Stegostoma tigrinum: one gene and its partner. The protein of the gene in region 2 purifies or fractionates together with the protein of the main gene of each other region. This does not show direct contact. Links are inferred from orthologs where the notes say so. Each region holds a gene or a part of one and is shown on either strand. Other genes may lie near its edges.

What was found.
Region 1: the proteins of afg2b (region 2) and timm13 purify together in Homo sapiens (co-immunoprecipitation; 3 studies listed by BioGRID and IntAct, with this or other methods). This does not show direct contact. The link is inferred for Stegostoma tigrinum from reciprocal best matches to the Homo sapiens genes AFG2B and TIMM13.

What each region holds. Positions count from the first base shown.
Region 1 is NC_081383.1:26,604,778-26,612,148, forward strand, and holds the start of timm13 (mitochondrial import inner membrane translocase subunit Tim13), read right to left. Parts: upstream 3,008-7,371; 5' UTR 2,941-3,007; coding exon 2,818-2,940; intron 1-2,817. UniProt on the Homo sapiens protein: Mitochondrial intermembrane chaperone that participates in the import and insertion of some multi-pass transmembrane proteins into the mitochondrial inner membrane.
Region 2 is NC_081386.1:37,033,931-37,041,866, reverse strand, and holds the start of afg2b (spermatogenesis-associated protein 5-like protein 1), read left to right. Parts: upstream 1-4,936; 5' UTR 4,937-4,994; coding exon 4,995-6,059; intron 6,060-6,417; coding exon 6,418-6,603; intron 6,604-7,216; coding exon 7,217-7,375; intron 7,376-7,530; coding exon 7,531-7,740; intron 7,741-7,776; exon of another isoform or gene 7,777-7,936. Other genes in the region: arpin-like, read right to left, coding at 2,702-2,908, 3,535-3,667, 4,391-4,466, 4,556-4,647. UniProt on the Homo sapiens protein: ATP-dependent chaperone part of the 55LCC heterohexameric ATPase complex which is chromatin-associated and promotes replisome proteostasis to maintain replication fork progression and genome stability.

The DNA.
Region 1 (7,371 bases), on a different chromosome or scaffold from region 2:
ACTGCCCATTGTGTTCAGGGTTGTGTAGATTAGGTGGGGTATAGGGTGATGGGTCTGGGTGGGATGGTCTGAAGGCCGGTGTGGACTTGTAGGGCCGAAGGGCCTGTTTCCACACTGTAGTGACTCTATGATAACTTCTATGATCTAATAGCCTGCATGGTTTTCAGAAAAGGTGGAAGCTTTTTTCTCGTGCTGTTTTGAGACTTCAGAACTTTCTGTCTCAGAAGGAGGTGGAGGAAGTATCATTGAGCATTTTAAAGGCAAAATTAGACAGATTCCTGTTAGGCAAGGGCTTCAAATATTATCTGGGGTAGATGCAAATATACAAACATACAGAATACTGGAACAGGCATGTAGTGGCCAATAGGACTATTTCTGCTTCTCATTCATACACTTACATATACGTAAAAGGCCATCTGGTTCACCAATGTCCTTTAAGAATGGAAATCTGCCAACCTTACCTGGACCTGCTGTACTGTGATTACCCAGCCTTTGAAACTACCTAGCAACTAAAGATGGGGAACAATACTGAATTTGGCACTGAGGCCCACATACCATTAAAAAAAGTCTTGATAATGCCATTAACAATTCAAAGTTTTCACCTTTCCTAAAGGGACACAAGACAACCTAGTCATCTTTATTTTTTTTTGTTTAAGAAACCAAACTAACCAGTAATCTTTGGTTCTGGACTTAATTATGCAAACATGTTAGACATTGACATATACAGCACAGAAATACATCCCTCAGTCCAACCGATCCATGCCGGCCACATATCCTAAATAAATCTAGTCCCATTTGCCAGCATTTGGCCCATATCCCTCTAAACCCTTCCTACTCATATGCCATCCAGGTGTCTTTTTAAATGCCATAATTGTACCAGCCCCCAACACTTCCTCTAGCAGCTCATTCCATACATGCACCTTCTGTATGAAAAAGTTGCCTCTTAGGAACCTTTTTCCCCTTCTCACCTTAAACCTATGCCCAGTAGTTTTGAATTCCTCAACCCCAAGGAAAAAACCTTGTCTATTTACCTTATCCATGCCCCTCATGGTGGTTTCATAGGCTTCTATAAGGTCACCCTTCAGCTTCTGACATTCCAGAGAAAATAACCCCAGTCTACTCAGCCTCTAACTAAAGCTCAAACCCTCCAACCCTGACAATATCCTTGTAAATCTTTTCTGAACCCTTTCAAGTTTCACACCATCCTTCCTTGAACAGGGAGACCAGAACTGTAGGGAGACCAGAACTGTATGCAGTATTCCGATGCTGGCCTAACCAATGTGCAGTACATCTGCAACATGACCTCCCAACTCCTATACTCAATCCACCTACTAGTAAAGGCGAGCATACCAAATGCCATTTAGCCAAAATTCTACAACTCCCTCCCTAAGATAGTGTAGGGCATGCTTTCAGCTGCTTTGGTCCTAAAGTCTGCAGTTGCCTTGTTGGCACTCCTTCCTCCATTCAGACACTCCTTATATCCATCTGAAAAAGGATCACAGATCTCGAAACATTACCTCTTTTCTCTTCACAGACACTGCCAGACCTGCTAAGTTTCTCAAGCAATTTACGTTCTTGTTCCAGATCATCAGCATCCTTGTTTTATTTCACTCCTTATATCCTACCTTTTTGACAACGCTTTTGTTCATTAGTCCTCATATCATTTTACTTGGCTCAATGTGTTCACAAGGTTAGGGTAACATAACAGCATGAGTAGTGGAGTAATTAAAGGACAGAAAGAGTTTGGAATAGACAGGTCAGAAAAAGTTGGTATATTTGCTACTAACGGATGGTGGGAAACTATTGACTATTGGTGTTTAAAGGCATTGAAATATCGTCAAAACTCAAAAAATTAACAGAAACAGAAACATAAATTGCTGGAGAAACTCGGGGGGGTCTGGCAGCATCTGTGGGTCCAGTGATCCTTCTTAACAACCAAAAGTTAACATGCAGATATAACAATATGACCACGAAGTCAAAGGTATGTTGGCAATTATTGCAAGTGGTTTGGGATACAAAAGCTTTGGCAACTGTAGCAACAGCCACCAATAGTGAAGCAATGAATAAACGCATTGCTGGAATCTGAATAAATGAATTCTTGAGGTCTCAAAGTTTGAATTGTGTGGGGAGATAAGGATGAACACAGCCAGGAATTAAATAGATGATGAAAATTTTAATATGTTGCTTACAAAAAGGAACCTTTGTATGTGAGGGAACACAGAGTTGATGGGTTAACAAGTTTTGTTGCAGGTGAGCAGAGTTTCAGGTATCACTAAGATTACAAGGAGGTTGAATGTGGGAGACCAAGTAGAAGTGTGTTATGATAGTTAAGCCTAGAGGTAACAAATCGATAATATGGAAGAGTTGACCAAAGGGTCTGTTTCCGTGCTTTCGATCTCTATGTCCTTTGCTAGACCTGGGAAGGTCCTTGAAATTTGTTACTCTATTCGAGGAGCTAACAAAGCTACATTGGATTGATTTTTTTTCAGGATATCGTAGCATTGAGAAATGGAAAATTCCATTCATTAAAAATAAAAAAACCTGCAAACTTCCTGGTTGCCAGCTTCAGTTGGGATTTTCAATGTCCTTGTCCTCCACGTGGGGGGCGAACGCTGTAAAGGAAGATTGACCTTTGCCTTCAAGACACCGTGCCCATGACGTCATATGCAATGATTTCCCCCGCCCCCTCGTCGCCTGAATTCTCATTGGTCGGACCGGCCGACCATCATACCGCGGGAACCGGTGAGGACGGTAACTGGAGGGAGGAGCTCCATGGAGCCAGGTCCTACTGTTGGATACTCTTTAGCGCCTACCAACCTGTAAAAGTTCCTGTGCGTTTGCCACGGCGATTTGCAGTTTCACCTGCTCCATGATCATCCCGGAGTCCACCTTCCCTCCTCCAGGCCCGCCTGAGGAGAAATCTGAAGAGAAGCTGTCCATCCTAGCGAGGGCCCTCTAACCTACTGCAGCCACGGACCAAGCGCGAGGAAGGCGGAGCGGCGCATGCGCACCGATTGCCGGCTGAAATTTTGAGAACTACAACTCCCAGATTGCACCGTTCCAAATGTTCAAGTCACATGGCCATGTCTAGCAGGATAACAAAGTGTGGGACTGGGTGAACACAGCAGGCCCAGCAGCATCTTAAGAGCACAAAAGCTGACATTTCGGGCCTAGCCCCTTCATCGGGGGGGGGGGATTCTGAAATAAATAGGGAGGGGGGGGGGGGGGAGAGGATTCTGAAATAAATAGGGAGAGAGGGGGAGGCGGACCGAAGATGGATAGAGGAGAAGATAGGTGGAGAGGAGAGTATGCGTGGGGAGGTAGGGAGGGGATAGGTCAGTCCAGGGAGGATGGATAGGTCAAGGAGGTGGGATGAGGTTAGTAGGTAGAAAATGCAGGTGCAGCTTGAGGTGGGAGGAGGGGATAGGTGAGAGGAAGAACAGGTTAGGGAGGCGGGGTGAGGTGGGCTGGTTTTGGGCTGCAGTAGGGGAAGGGGAGATTTTGAAGCTTGTGAAGTCCACATTGATACCATTGGGCTGCAGAGTTCCCAAGCGGAATATGAGTTGCTGTTCCTGCAACCTACAGGTGGCATCATTATGGCACTGCAGGAGGCCCAGGATGGACATGTCGTCTAAGGAATGGGAGGGGGAGTTGAAATGGTTCGCAACTGGGAGGTGCAGTTGTTTACTGTGAACCGAGTGTAGGTGTTCTGCAGAGCAGTCCCCAAGCCTCCGCTTGGTTTCCCCAGCGTAGAGGAAGCCACACTCTGTACTTCGGATGCAGTATACCACATTGGCGGATGTGCAGGTGAACATCTGCTTGATGTGGAAAGTCACCTTGGGCCTGGGATGGGGGTGAGGGTGGTGGTGTGGGGGCAGGTGTCTATCAGCATGGTTCAATCTCAGTGCTCAGTGTTACCATGCTCTCACCATCTTAGTATATCCTGAATTTTGAAGGAAACCAGAAATATAACTCTGGTTCTCTCTCCATAAATGCTGTGACTGCATCTGGTTTCTTCATTTTCTGATCTCAATGCATCCTGGACTCTATCCCTGTTTTTCTTGGTCTTCCTGTATATTATGAAGGTTTAAATGATGTGGTTTATCCTTGAATTGGGTATAAGGAGTAAGTCAAATTGGACATTGTACTCAGTTAGTAAAGTCCGTGTTTGTGAGGAAAGGAGTAAGATTGACTTAAGCAGATTACTTTTCTTTAATTCAGAGATAATGGGAACTACAGATGCTGGAGAATCTGAGATAACGAAGTGTGGAGCTGGATGAACACAGCAGGCCAAGCATTATCTTGGGAGCACAAAAGCTGACGTTTCAGCCCTAGACCCTTGTGCTCCCAAGATACTGCTTGGCCTGCTGTGTTCATCCAGCTCCACATTCTATTTTTCTTTAATTGTTATCTTTTACATCCACATAAGGTGAAATGCTGCAGCTTAACAATTTATCTGATCTTGTTTACTGAATGTTTAATTTCACTTTCAAACAAACTGAAGACTGGACTGTGGTGACATTGACAGAAAGCACAATATCCTATTCAGACCACAATGGGGCACAGAATGGTTAGTAGTTTATGTAAAATGCTTGGTATAATATACAAGAAATATCCACAGTAGACTGAAATGTGTAAGAATTACCAAATGTTTTATTTATCAGTAGATCTTTTATTCCTGATTCATTACTTTCACCAATATTAAGGTTCACATGTTTCATTGATGAAACACTACTTGACTAATGATCCTGAATATATTCAGTAAATTAATTCCCATTCTTGTTCTGGTAAATCTCCCTTCATCACATTTTACATGCATTCTGATCTGCATATGCAGTTAAATGTGCTTCTTCTGCTAAGATACTTTCCTATGCCACAGAAATTCTGGCAGAACACCGGTGAGCATATCTGCCTTCTAAGCAGTTGACCTGGGTTTGATTCCTGATCATTACAATGTTGTGCTCATAAACCAATTTTCAACAAAAAAACCAAAGATGAAATGAATGAGATCGGTCATTGAATTGCTCTGAAAATACACAAGCATTTAATTCTGTGAACAAATCCATCAAATTGTTCCTTGTTTTTGGACACCGCACAGTAGCTCAGTGACTAGTGCTGCTGCCAGGGACGCAGGTTTGATTCCACCCTTGGGTGACTGTGCAAACTCCACACAGACATTCTCCCATTGGGTTTCCTCTGGGTGCTCCAGTTTCCTCCCACAGTCCAAATCTATGCAGATTAGGTGAGTTGATCGTGCCGAAATTGCTCATAGTGGTCAGGGATATGCAGGCTTGGTGAGTTAACCATGAGAAATTTAGGATTAGAGGGATGCAGTGGGTCTAGGTGGGATGCTGTTTGGAGGGTCAATGTGGACTCAAGGACTGAATAGCCTGTCTTCACACTGTAGGGATTCTGTGATTCTTTTAGTATCATGCTAGTGCTTTTGTAGATTCTGCTCATCCACTTGTATATTCCATTTTTACAAATTCTGTGGGTATCTATGTTGCTGTATCAATATGCAACATTACATGCCTTTTATAATCTGGAGCTATAAATAGTGATATTTTTCTTCCCTAATCATCTGTGCTTCTGGTCAAGAGACAGGGTGCTACCTGTCACAAGGTGCAAGAACTCCTGTGAATATTAAAGCTTAAATTTCTCACTTTCATTCTCACTAAAGTTGCAGCTGGATTTGTCATTGCTAACAGATCAATCCGTCCATGTGTCTTTAGTTACTCTATTTTGTTTGTAATATTCCAGCTATTGATATAAAGACACTGCATAAAATTGGTTGCTTTCTCTTCAGCAATCGCTTTCCTCCTGTATAGTTATCTTGCCTGACTTCTGTAAAACTTTGAACCTCATTTTTGCTTTTTCAATAAATGCAACTGTAGTTTTTTTTCAGCTAGTGTTTACATTTCTGATAAAACATCCAGGACAAAGCATCCCACTTTAATCAGCATTTCATCGGACCAACTTCACTCCTTTAACCACCAGTGCATGGAGATGGAGAAATACATCACAATGGACTGTGGCAACTCACCAACATTTGTTTGACAGCATCCTCCAATCCTGAGATTTCTATCACCTAAAAGAATGAGGGTACCAGATGCATGGAACACCAGCATCTGTAAGCCCCTTCTTAGCCACACATCATCATGAATTGGAACCTTAGCATGGATTTTGGGGTACTCAGGGACACAACAACCCTTCACTGTTGCAGGATTAAAATCTTGGGTCTCCCTTTCTAACAGCACTGGGGTACACCTCTGTCTGAAAGGGATGATAGTGGTACAAGAAGGTAGCTCACCACCACCTTCTCCAGGGATTGGCAACAAATTCTGACCCTGGCAATCACCTACATACCATGGAAGAAGAAGAAAAACACCACATATTACTGCTTCAAAAGAAGGGAGGAAAAACTTAATTATTAACTGATCAAATGTAATAACTTGTAAGATTTCTTGTCTGGTTTCAAATTCCAGCTATTAACCTGTTGGTGTGAAACCCAGAAATGATGGGAACTGCAGATGCTGGAGAATCCAAGATAACAAAGTGTGGAGCTGGATGAACACAGCAGGCCAAGCAGCATCTCAGGAGCACAAAAGCTGACGTTTCGGGCCTAGAGAGAATGAAGGGTCTAGGCCCGAAACATCAGCTTTTGTGCTCCTGAGATGCTGCTTGGCCTGCTGTGTTCATCCAGCTTCACACTTTATTATCTTGGTGTGAAAACCAGAATTGCTACCACCTCTGAAAAAGAAGTTTCCTGATCCATTAATAACTTTTTCATGTACATGAGCAATGCTGAAAAAATGCACTAATACACTACAATGTTAAGTATTGTGGAAAATATAAACATTTAGTTTATGCTAATCATATAAAAATTTACAGAATAAAAAATATTGTTTCAATTCAGAGGAATAATTAAATCAAAGTGATTAATCTGATATACCAGTAAACTACCATTTGTCAATGTCACTTGTCAATACTCTAACTCGAACAATATGTATCATTCTATGTGACAAAATCATCAATATGATTGTACCTTTCAATAAAATATTCTTATAAGCCTTCAAATACTGTCCATGATGTTAGCAAGGCATAATATGCAGAAACACTTCTGTTTTTGGTGTGTTAGCAACTTGTATGAACATATTAAAAGCTCATCCAATAATATCAACGCAAGTAACATCTACTTTTCAGTTGATTTAAGCAGATTTTATATCATTCCACTTTAATATTACTGAATTCCAATATTTGGCAAAATAATTTTGGTACTCTGCAAAGAATAGTTTAAATACAATTTTCGCCACGTTATACCATCTACAGATTGTGCCCTGATTAGCCTCAAATTCTTGCAGGCATTTGAGG
Region 2 (7,936 bases):
ATGCTCCAGACCAATAATTCCTGTTTTATTTCAGATTTCGAGCATTCACAGTTCTTTGTTCTTTTATACTGGTGAATCTGCTCTACACTCCTTCCAATGAAATCCTATCCTTATAGAGTGGTGACCAGACATGCACAGTATACTCCAGCTGTGGTCTCATCAAAATAGAGTACAGCAGCAAAAAAATCTCCCTACTCTTATAATTTACACCAAGGCCAAGTTGTAATGTGTCCCATATGCCTTCTGAACCATCCTATTAACCTGTCCTGCTGCCTTTAGGAAACTATGGACAAGCAACCCAAGATCCTATGATCCTCAGCTTCCTAGCGTCCTGCCATTCATTGATTACTCCTTTCTTCCAAATGTCACATCTTATTTTTCAAAGTTAAATTTCATTTACACTGATCTGCCCAATCTGTTCATGTCTACCTGCAATCCAAGATTCTTTCCTCACTGTCAGCCAGTGAAACTTTGCATAACAGAGCCACACTGCAAATAGACCCTTCGGTCCAACTAGTCTATGCTAACCATTTTCCCCAAATTAAGCAAGTCCCACTTGCCTGTCTTTGAACCATATCCCTCCAATGTTTCCTATTCATGTATTTCTCCAAATGTCTTTCAAATATCATAACTGTACCCACATCCACCACTTCCTCTGACACTTCATTCCACATATGAACCAGTGTAAAAAAACTGCCCCATTAGAACTTTCTCCTCTCACCTTGAAAATATGTCCCCTATTTTTGAACACCCCCTATCCTAGGCAAAAATCCTTCCTGTTAACCGTTTCTATGTCCCTCATGATTTTATAAATCTCTACAAGGTCACCCCTCAACAACCTACACTCCAGTAAAAACTTATTTTCAACACCTCACCCCACTCTCATCTACTGTTTATATAGATCATGAACAATAAGGGGCCCAGCACTGATCCCTGTGGACACCTGCCTCGAGTCACACAAACAGCCTTCTGTCACTTCTCTCTCTCTCTAATCACTAAACCAAATTTGGATCCAAATTGCCAAGTTACCCTGGATTCCATGTGCTTTTACTTTTTCTTTAAAAAAAAGTCAGTTGCCCACTTGGAACCCTGTTAATATCTTTGCTGAAATCCATACAAACTACATCAACTACGAGACACTCATCTAACACTTGGAAAAATTCTATCAAATTTGTTAGGCACAACCTCCCTCTGACAAAGCCATGTTGAATATTCCTGATCAAACCTTGCCTTCTTAATCACTTAAATGCATCTGCATAGTAACTTTTAATAGTACATGTCCCAGCTCACAGGTTCCACTGGGCTTCAGAGTTCTGCAATCTCTCGCTATTTAAAATAATGCTCCTTTTCCAATCTTAGTGATAAACGGACAAATTCACAATTTTTCATATTTTAGTCCATCTAAAAATATTGCACACTTAACAGTCTATAAAAGGATATAGGCTGGTTAATATCCACTTGACAATTTTTGTTTTTTTTCTCAAACTCCTATTCTATTATACCTGCCATCTCCCAGGGGAGGTAGTAGTGTAGTGTATGGTCACAGGGCTGATAGTCTAATGTCCTTGTGGGCATGGGTACAAATCCCACTATGTCAGATGATGAGATGTGTGCAATAACAATATAAACAGCTAGGCAAATGGCAGACATTTAACTATTGTCAATTATCATTACAAAGCCCTGTGGTTCACTAATGGCAATGTCATTACCCAGTCTGATCAGCAAACGCACTGTGGTTGACTCTTAAGTTACCCTTCAGCAACTGAGGATGGGAAATAGCTACAAATAGCAGAGCTACTAATTGAGGGGTGATAGATTTAAGACAGATGTCAGAAGCAGGTTCTTTACTTAGAGTGGTAAGGGCATGGAACGCCCTGCCTGCCAATGTAGTTAACTCAGCCACATTAGGGGCATTTAAACAGTCCTTGGATAAGCAGATGGATAATGATGGGATCGTGTAGGGGGAGGGGCTTAGTTCACAGGTCGGTGCAACATCGAGGGCCGAAGGGCCTGTTCTGCGCTGTATTGTTCTATGTTCTAAATAAATGTTGGCCTAGTTCATGAATTAATAAAATAAAACTTATTCAAGACTGTTCCGGTATTCCACTATCAGCCATTATTGATTCCACAATCTTGCCCTTTAAAAGGGCTCACTTTGGTTATACTTTTCATTTTTAAATACTTAAAAGCACCTTATAGTTTTGGTTAAATTTTTGGAATGTTTTCTCTCTAATTTCTCTTTTGCTGATTTCTAAATCTGTCCAGATCTCAGTTCCATACCAATGATACATCCTTCCTGGTGGACTGTTGGAGTATATTTTTAGTGAGGTATGAAAAATTTCAAAAATATATTGCACTGTCCTATCTTTTAAACCATTTTTCCCCAATATTCTGTTTATGTAATTGCCTTGATTCAACTTCAAGGCACTAGATTTTATTAAGAGAGAGTGTGTATACACATGCTTGGGGAAGAGAGAGAGTGGATGTGTCAGATTGAGGGGCTGGGTGAGTAGAATCCCACTATGTACAGATTGCCTTGTTTCTCATTTTCCAACTGTGATGATCAACCATCAGCAATGAAAAATTTGGGGATTCAGACTTGATGGAAACTCTTGCTTCTCGTTTGGTAAGAAATTACAGCTGCAAAAACAGTGAATCTCAGTAAAAATCAATTGTTCCAGGATGTAACATTCAAACTTACAAATAAAAGGACTGTCCCCCAAGGTTTTCAGTCGTAAACAATCTTCAACCTCCAGCTCAATGTCTTCCACCTCTCCCTCTGAGATCCAGAATGCCAAGCTCTGATTGGGGGTGTGTTTCTCTGAGATTTTAATAAGCTCTGGTTTATTAATTAATCGCTTCAGATCTTCAACCAAAATTTTGTCTGTCTGTCCCGCTGCTTCCACCTCTACCGGATGATGTAAAACATGAAAACACAAGGTTAAGGAGCAGGCCTGAGAGCCCATGGCATTAGGTGCTTGACAATTTTCACCTGCTTTTTAATGAGGCTATTCTCGCAGCAATTTTCACTCACTAAGGTTTTACCACTTATGTTTTCAGTCATTTTTCTTTGACACAGACTAAGTCTAAACAGGAAGAAACTCAAATGTTCAGTACTTACCCAAAACTGACGTGCCTGTATGGATCATTTATAATAGGTGGAATGACTTTGAATATGTAATTATTTTTGTTCTCTACAGAAACAAAATGGGATCTCCCACTGCCCCACACCAAAGCTGGTAACATTATCAACACTAATTTCCAGAAAATTTCAATCTCCACATCCTCCTTACTTACACACATGAACAAGAGGAAGCTGTTCAGCCGCTCTTGGCTGTTAGACAGGACCAGTAGAGACCATTCAGCTACTTGAAAGAATTATACACAAATAGGAGGCCATTCACCTTCCCAAATCTAGGAACAGGAACCATTCAACCCTTGAGGCTGTTGTACAAAGTAGGCTATTCACCCTACCAAATCTATTTCAATTTTCAATATGGTCATAGCTACTCAAATTTGGCTTCATATACTCACTGAAGGAAGACATCAAATAGCCAGTGTTGACCTTTTTAGTTTCACTGAAATTTGGTTCAATCTCCACACCAGCAGAATCAAACTTTCTTTTATGGATCCTTGTTGGTTGAATATAAAGAATGAAATAACGATGCTGAAAAGCATAAAGAGTTTTTTTTAAATCTAGACATTTTTGTTCATTAAACCAAGTAGAGCAGTGAATTCTACATAGTTTCCAGTTGTGGCAAAGGATCGTCGGTTACAAACAGAATACTCAGTTTCTGCGAAACTTTGTAAACTTGAGGAAAAAACCAAAAGAACTGTGGATGTCTGTAAATGCAGGAAAACTTCTGCATCCTTGTACTCCAATTCTCTGGATATAAAAGCCATCAATTTTCTACACAAGAGGGTAGATAACTTACAGAGAGAGATACTTCAGGTCAATGACCTTTCATCAGTCCATAGCGTATATAGCAAGTTTTCAAGGACACTTTATCAGGGCTCTGTTGAAAACACAAATACCTGTTTATCATTGGAGCATCATGGATTCGCCCTCCTTGACCTGGTATGGGATTTGAACCTGAAGCTTTTAGTTAGGAGGCAGGTTGCTATACAAATCAGTGCCACATGACCTTCCCAGTATTTCTTTTAACGAAAAGGACTGTGGAGACTGTAAATCCAGCAACTCCTGTTTTTGTTGTGTTTGTAAATTTGAGATTTAATTTCACTTCCGGAGACTCAGGACAAACACTAACACCACGCTCCCGGCTCCCGCCCCGACCGACCGACCACGCCCCACTCTGCTCGTCACAGCCCGGCCTCCAGCAGCAGCACGCACCCCCCCGGGGCCCTCCCGAAACATCATGCCGTCCCTTACCGTGCTCTTTCCGCTCTCGATGATTTGATGGCGGCTGACGGCCCGCAATCTTCCCTCCAGCACCACCCCAGGGCCGCTGCAAACAAAGCGGAGCCGTTACCCCCTTTCAGACCACCCGCTGCCCGCCTCCAATCTCTTTGCAGCTCCCCCGCTACCAGCACTCACCGCTGCAGCTCAGCCGGTTCCCAGCGCCCCGACACCGGCTCCGGGATGACCGGCCTGTTCGCTAACGCTTTATCATCATATATTCTGCTCATAGCGGCTTGTTAGGACCGAAACAGATGACCCAGCGCTTCCGGGATCAGGGCAGGGACCTGCGGACAGATCCCGGTGGAGAGTGGGTGGGTCCACATGCTCAGGGGCGGTGTCTTCTGTGTCAGTGGGCGGAGACACATGCTCAGGGGCGGTGTCTTCTGTGTCAGTGGGCGGAGACATGCTCAGGGGCGGTGTCTTCTGTGTCAGTGGGCGGAGACACATGCTCAGGGGCGGTGTCTTCTGTGTCAGTGGGCGGAGACATGCTCAGGGGCGGTGTCTTCTGTGTCAGTGGGCGGAGACATGCTCAGGGGCGGTGTCCCTGGTGCTAGTGGGCGGAGCTCTGTCGGTAATGGCCGAGCTGCTCCTGCTCCCTGCTGACTTTGGGGACCGGGATTCGCAGCGCTGCCGTCTTGGGCCACGGGTCTTAACCGCTCTGGGCCTCAGCCTGGGTGCACCACTGCGGGTCTGTTTACCGGGAGGCTCAGCTCTGTGCTCTGCTTGGCCACGGGCGGACCGGGCCGAGGGCTTCTTGCAGCTCGACTGCAAATGCGTGAGTCCGGGGCTGTTAGAGAGACCTTGCCGGGGCCTGAGCTTGGGCCTCGGGCACCTAGAGCCCCTCTCCTGTGTTAAACTGAGGCGGGTCCGGGTGCGGGCTGTTCAGTCACATGGACCCGGGCCCGGGCCGGTGGTGGCACAGCTGCTGCTGAAGGAGCTGCTGAGGGGGTTGTTCCTCTGCCCGGGGTTTGTGGTTACGGTAGAGCCGGAGGCCGCGGCCTGGCCTGGGTTGTTCCTGCTGGATGTGGCCGCAGTAGAGCCGGAGCTGTGTCCCGGCAGCGTTGGCGTCCTGGGCCCCGGGACCCAGCTGGAGGTGGCGGAGCGGCTGAACCTGGAGCAGTTCCGAGCCCGAGGAAGGGGCCTGGACCTGGGCAGCCTGCAGCTGTCTGCTGCCCCGCTCCAGGAGATGCTGAACCTTCCGCTTCGTTTCCCGCGGGCCCTGAACCGCCTCGGTCTGCCGTGCCCCCGGGGTTTACTGTTACTTGGGCCTCCGGGGGTGGGGAAAACGGCGCTGCTGCGCGCCGTGTCCCAGGATTTGGCCGCTCCACTGATCCTCGCCTCCCCCGCTACCCTCCGGGGCTCCCGGCCGGGGGAGAGCGAGCAGAGGCTGCGCTGTCTCTTCGCCCAGGCCGAAGCCCAGGCTCGGGCCGGGCCCTGCATCGTCTTCATCGACGACATTGAGTCGCTGTTCCCCCGGAGGGCGGCGGCTGGGAGCCGGCCTGAGGACCGCCTGGTGGCCCAGCTCCTTACTCTGATGGATGGCCTGGAGCCTCGCACTCGCCTTGTCGTGGTAGCCGCCAGCAGCAGCCCCGAAGCCTTGGAACCCGCATTGAGGCGACCCGGCCGCTTTGACCGAGAGGTGCCTGCCTTCCTGAATCGGCCAGTAGTCAGGGTTTGGGAGACAGAGATCCTGGTTTGAGGGAAGAATGGTAGACACCAGGGCAGGGCAGGGCAGAGACGAACCCCTAGGCCAGAGAGAGAGGTACCCGCGGGGTAGGGGTGAGGGAGGAGAGAGACTGGGGGTTTGGGTGGGGGGCAGAGAGACAGATTAAGGATGAGGAAGGCTGAGAGAGTCAGACCTGACGTGGAGAAGTGAAACACTTCCAGGAGCACAAAGTCAGATGTAGGCGATTTTTATGCAACTAAATCCTTAATGGGCGATTTTTATAATTTACTGAATCTGAAAGACTGAGTCTGCCTTTTAACTGCCTTTACAGGTTGTAATCGGGGTTCCAACGACGTCGCAGCGCCGATCCATTCTGGAAGTAGTCACCTCATCAATGCCTCTTGGGGCTGATGTTGATCTGTCCTGGCTGGCAGAAGCTACAAGTGGTTACGTTGGTGCTGATCTGACAGCCCTTTGTCGAGAGGCTGCTCTGCAGGTTGTGAGGCGCAGCTCTCAGGTACTAAAAAGAGCAAAAGAAGCAAGGCCGTGGGGTGTGTTAACCGTGCTGCCCAGGGCATGTGAGGCCTGGAGTGGTGGCTCATAGAATTTATTTGTGCTATTCAAAAACTTACACTAGCTGAGTATAAACCATGTTCAGTCAGTCGCAGAACTAGCCACTAAAAAACAAAAGAACTGTGGATGCTGTAAATCAGGAACAAAAACGGGAGTTGCTGGAAAAGCTCAGCAGGTCTGGCAGCATCTTTGAAGGAGAAAACAGTTAACATTTTGGGTCCAGTGACCCTTCCTGTGAAGGTTCTGAGAAAGGGTCACCAGACCCCAAACATTAACTCTGTTTTCTCCTCCACAGATGCTGCCAGACCTGCTGAGCTGTTCCAGAACTAGCCACGTTCTCAATTAACCTAAAAGTCAGAGTCATAGTTGTACAGCAGGACACCTGGGAGTGCTGAAGACAGTTGTACTCCTGTGAGTTGAGGCCAGATCAGTGTCTGCATGGAGACTCTTCATAGGCGTGCTTTGTTTTTTAATTTTTGCATTAATCAGACAGACTTTAGGAATTATTCTCCTATTTCAAATTTCTCTTTGTAATTATTGACTCTGATTTCTTTAAGGACGCAATGAGCAAGAAAATCACCTTTGCAGACTTCTGTGAAGCAATGAAGATTGTGCAGCCTTCCTGTCTGAGAAGCAGCATCGGGCTTACTGGCTTCAAACCTGTCCATTGGGATCAAATTGGTGGCCTGGAACAAGTCAAACTGAAATTGAGACAGGTGACGAATGTAGCTGTGGTTTAAAGACACAGGTGGCTGTTGTGACCCAAGCCCCTCCCATCTCAGAATTCGCTGTCGCCCACTCCCAGCTGTCTGCTCTAATGGATGAGGCAGATCTTGAATGCAGTCTGTAATTGTTAGCATTCTCTCTGCAGAGTATTGAGTGGCCAATGCTATACCCGCAGGCATTTGAGAGGATGGGGGTGACCCCCACTCGTGGAATTCTGCTGTATGGACCCCCAGGGTGTGCAAAGACCACGCTGGTGAAAGCTGCAGCCTCCAGCTGCCGCTGTCCTTTCCTGTCGATCAGTGGGGCAGATCTCTTTTCACCGTTTGTAGGGGATTCTGAAAAGATTCTGGCTCAGGTGTGTATTTACAACAGGTTCACTCCAGACCGTGTACAGCAAGTTTAATAGTAACCTTATTTAAAGATGTACACTAGCCAAAGTACTTCAGTAAAGCAAAGCCCATGTGTTTTATCACCAACCCTGTACAGATCTATTTCCCTTGTTCTGAGCAATTCAGTTATGTCTATAGTTGTCATGCAGTGAACATCACAAA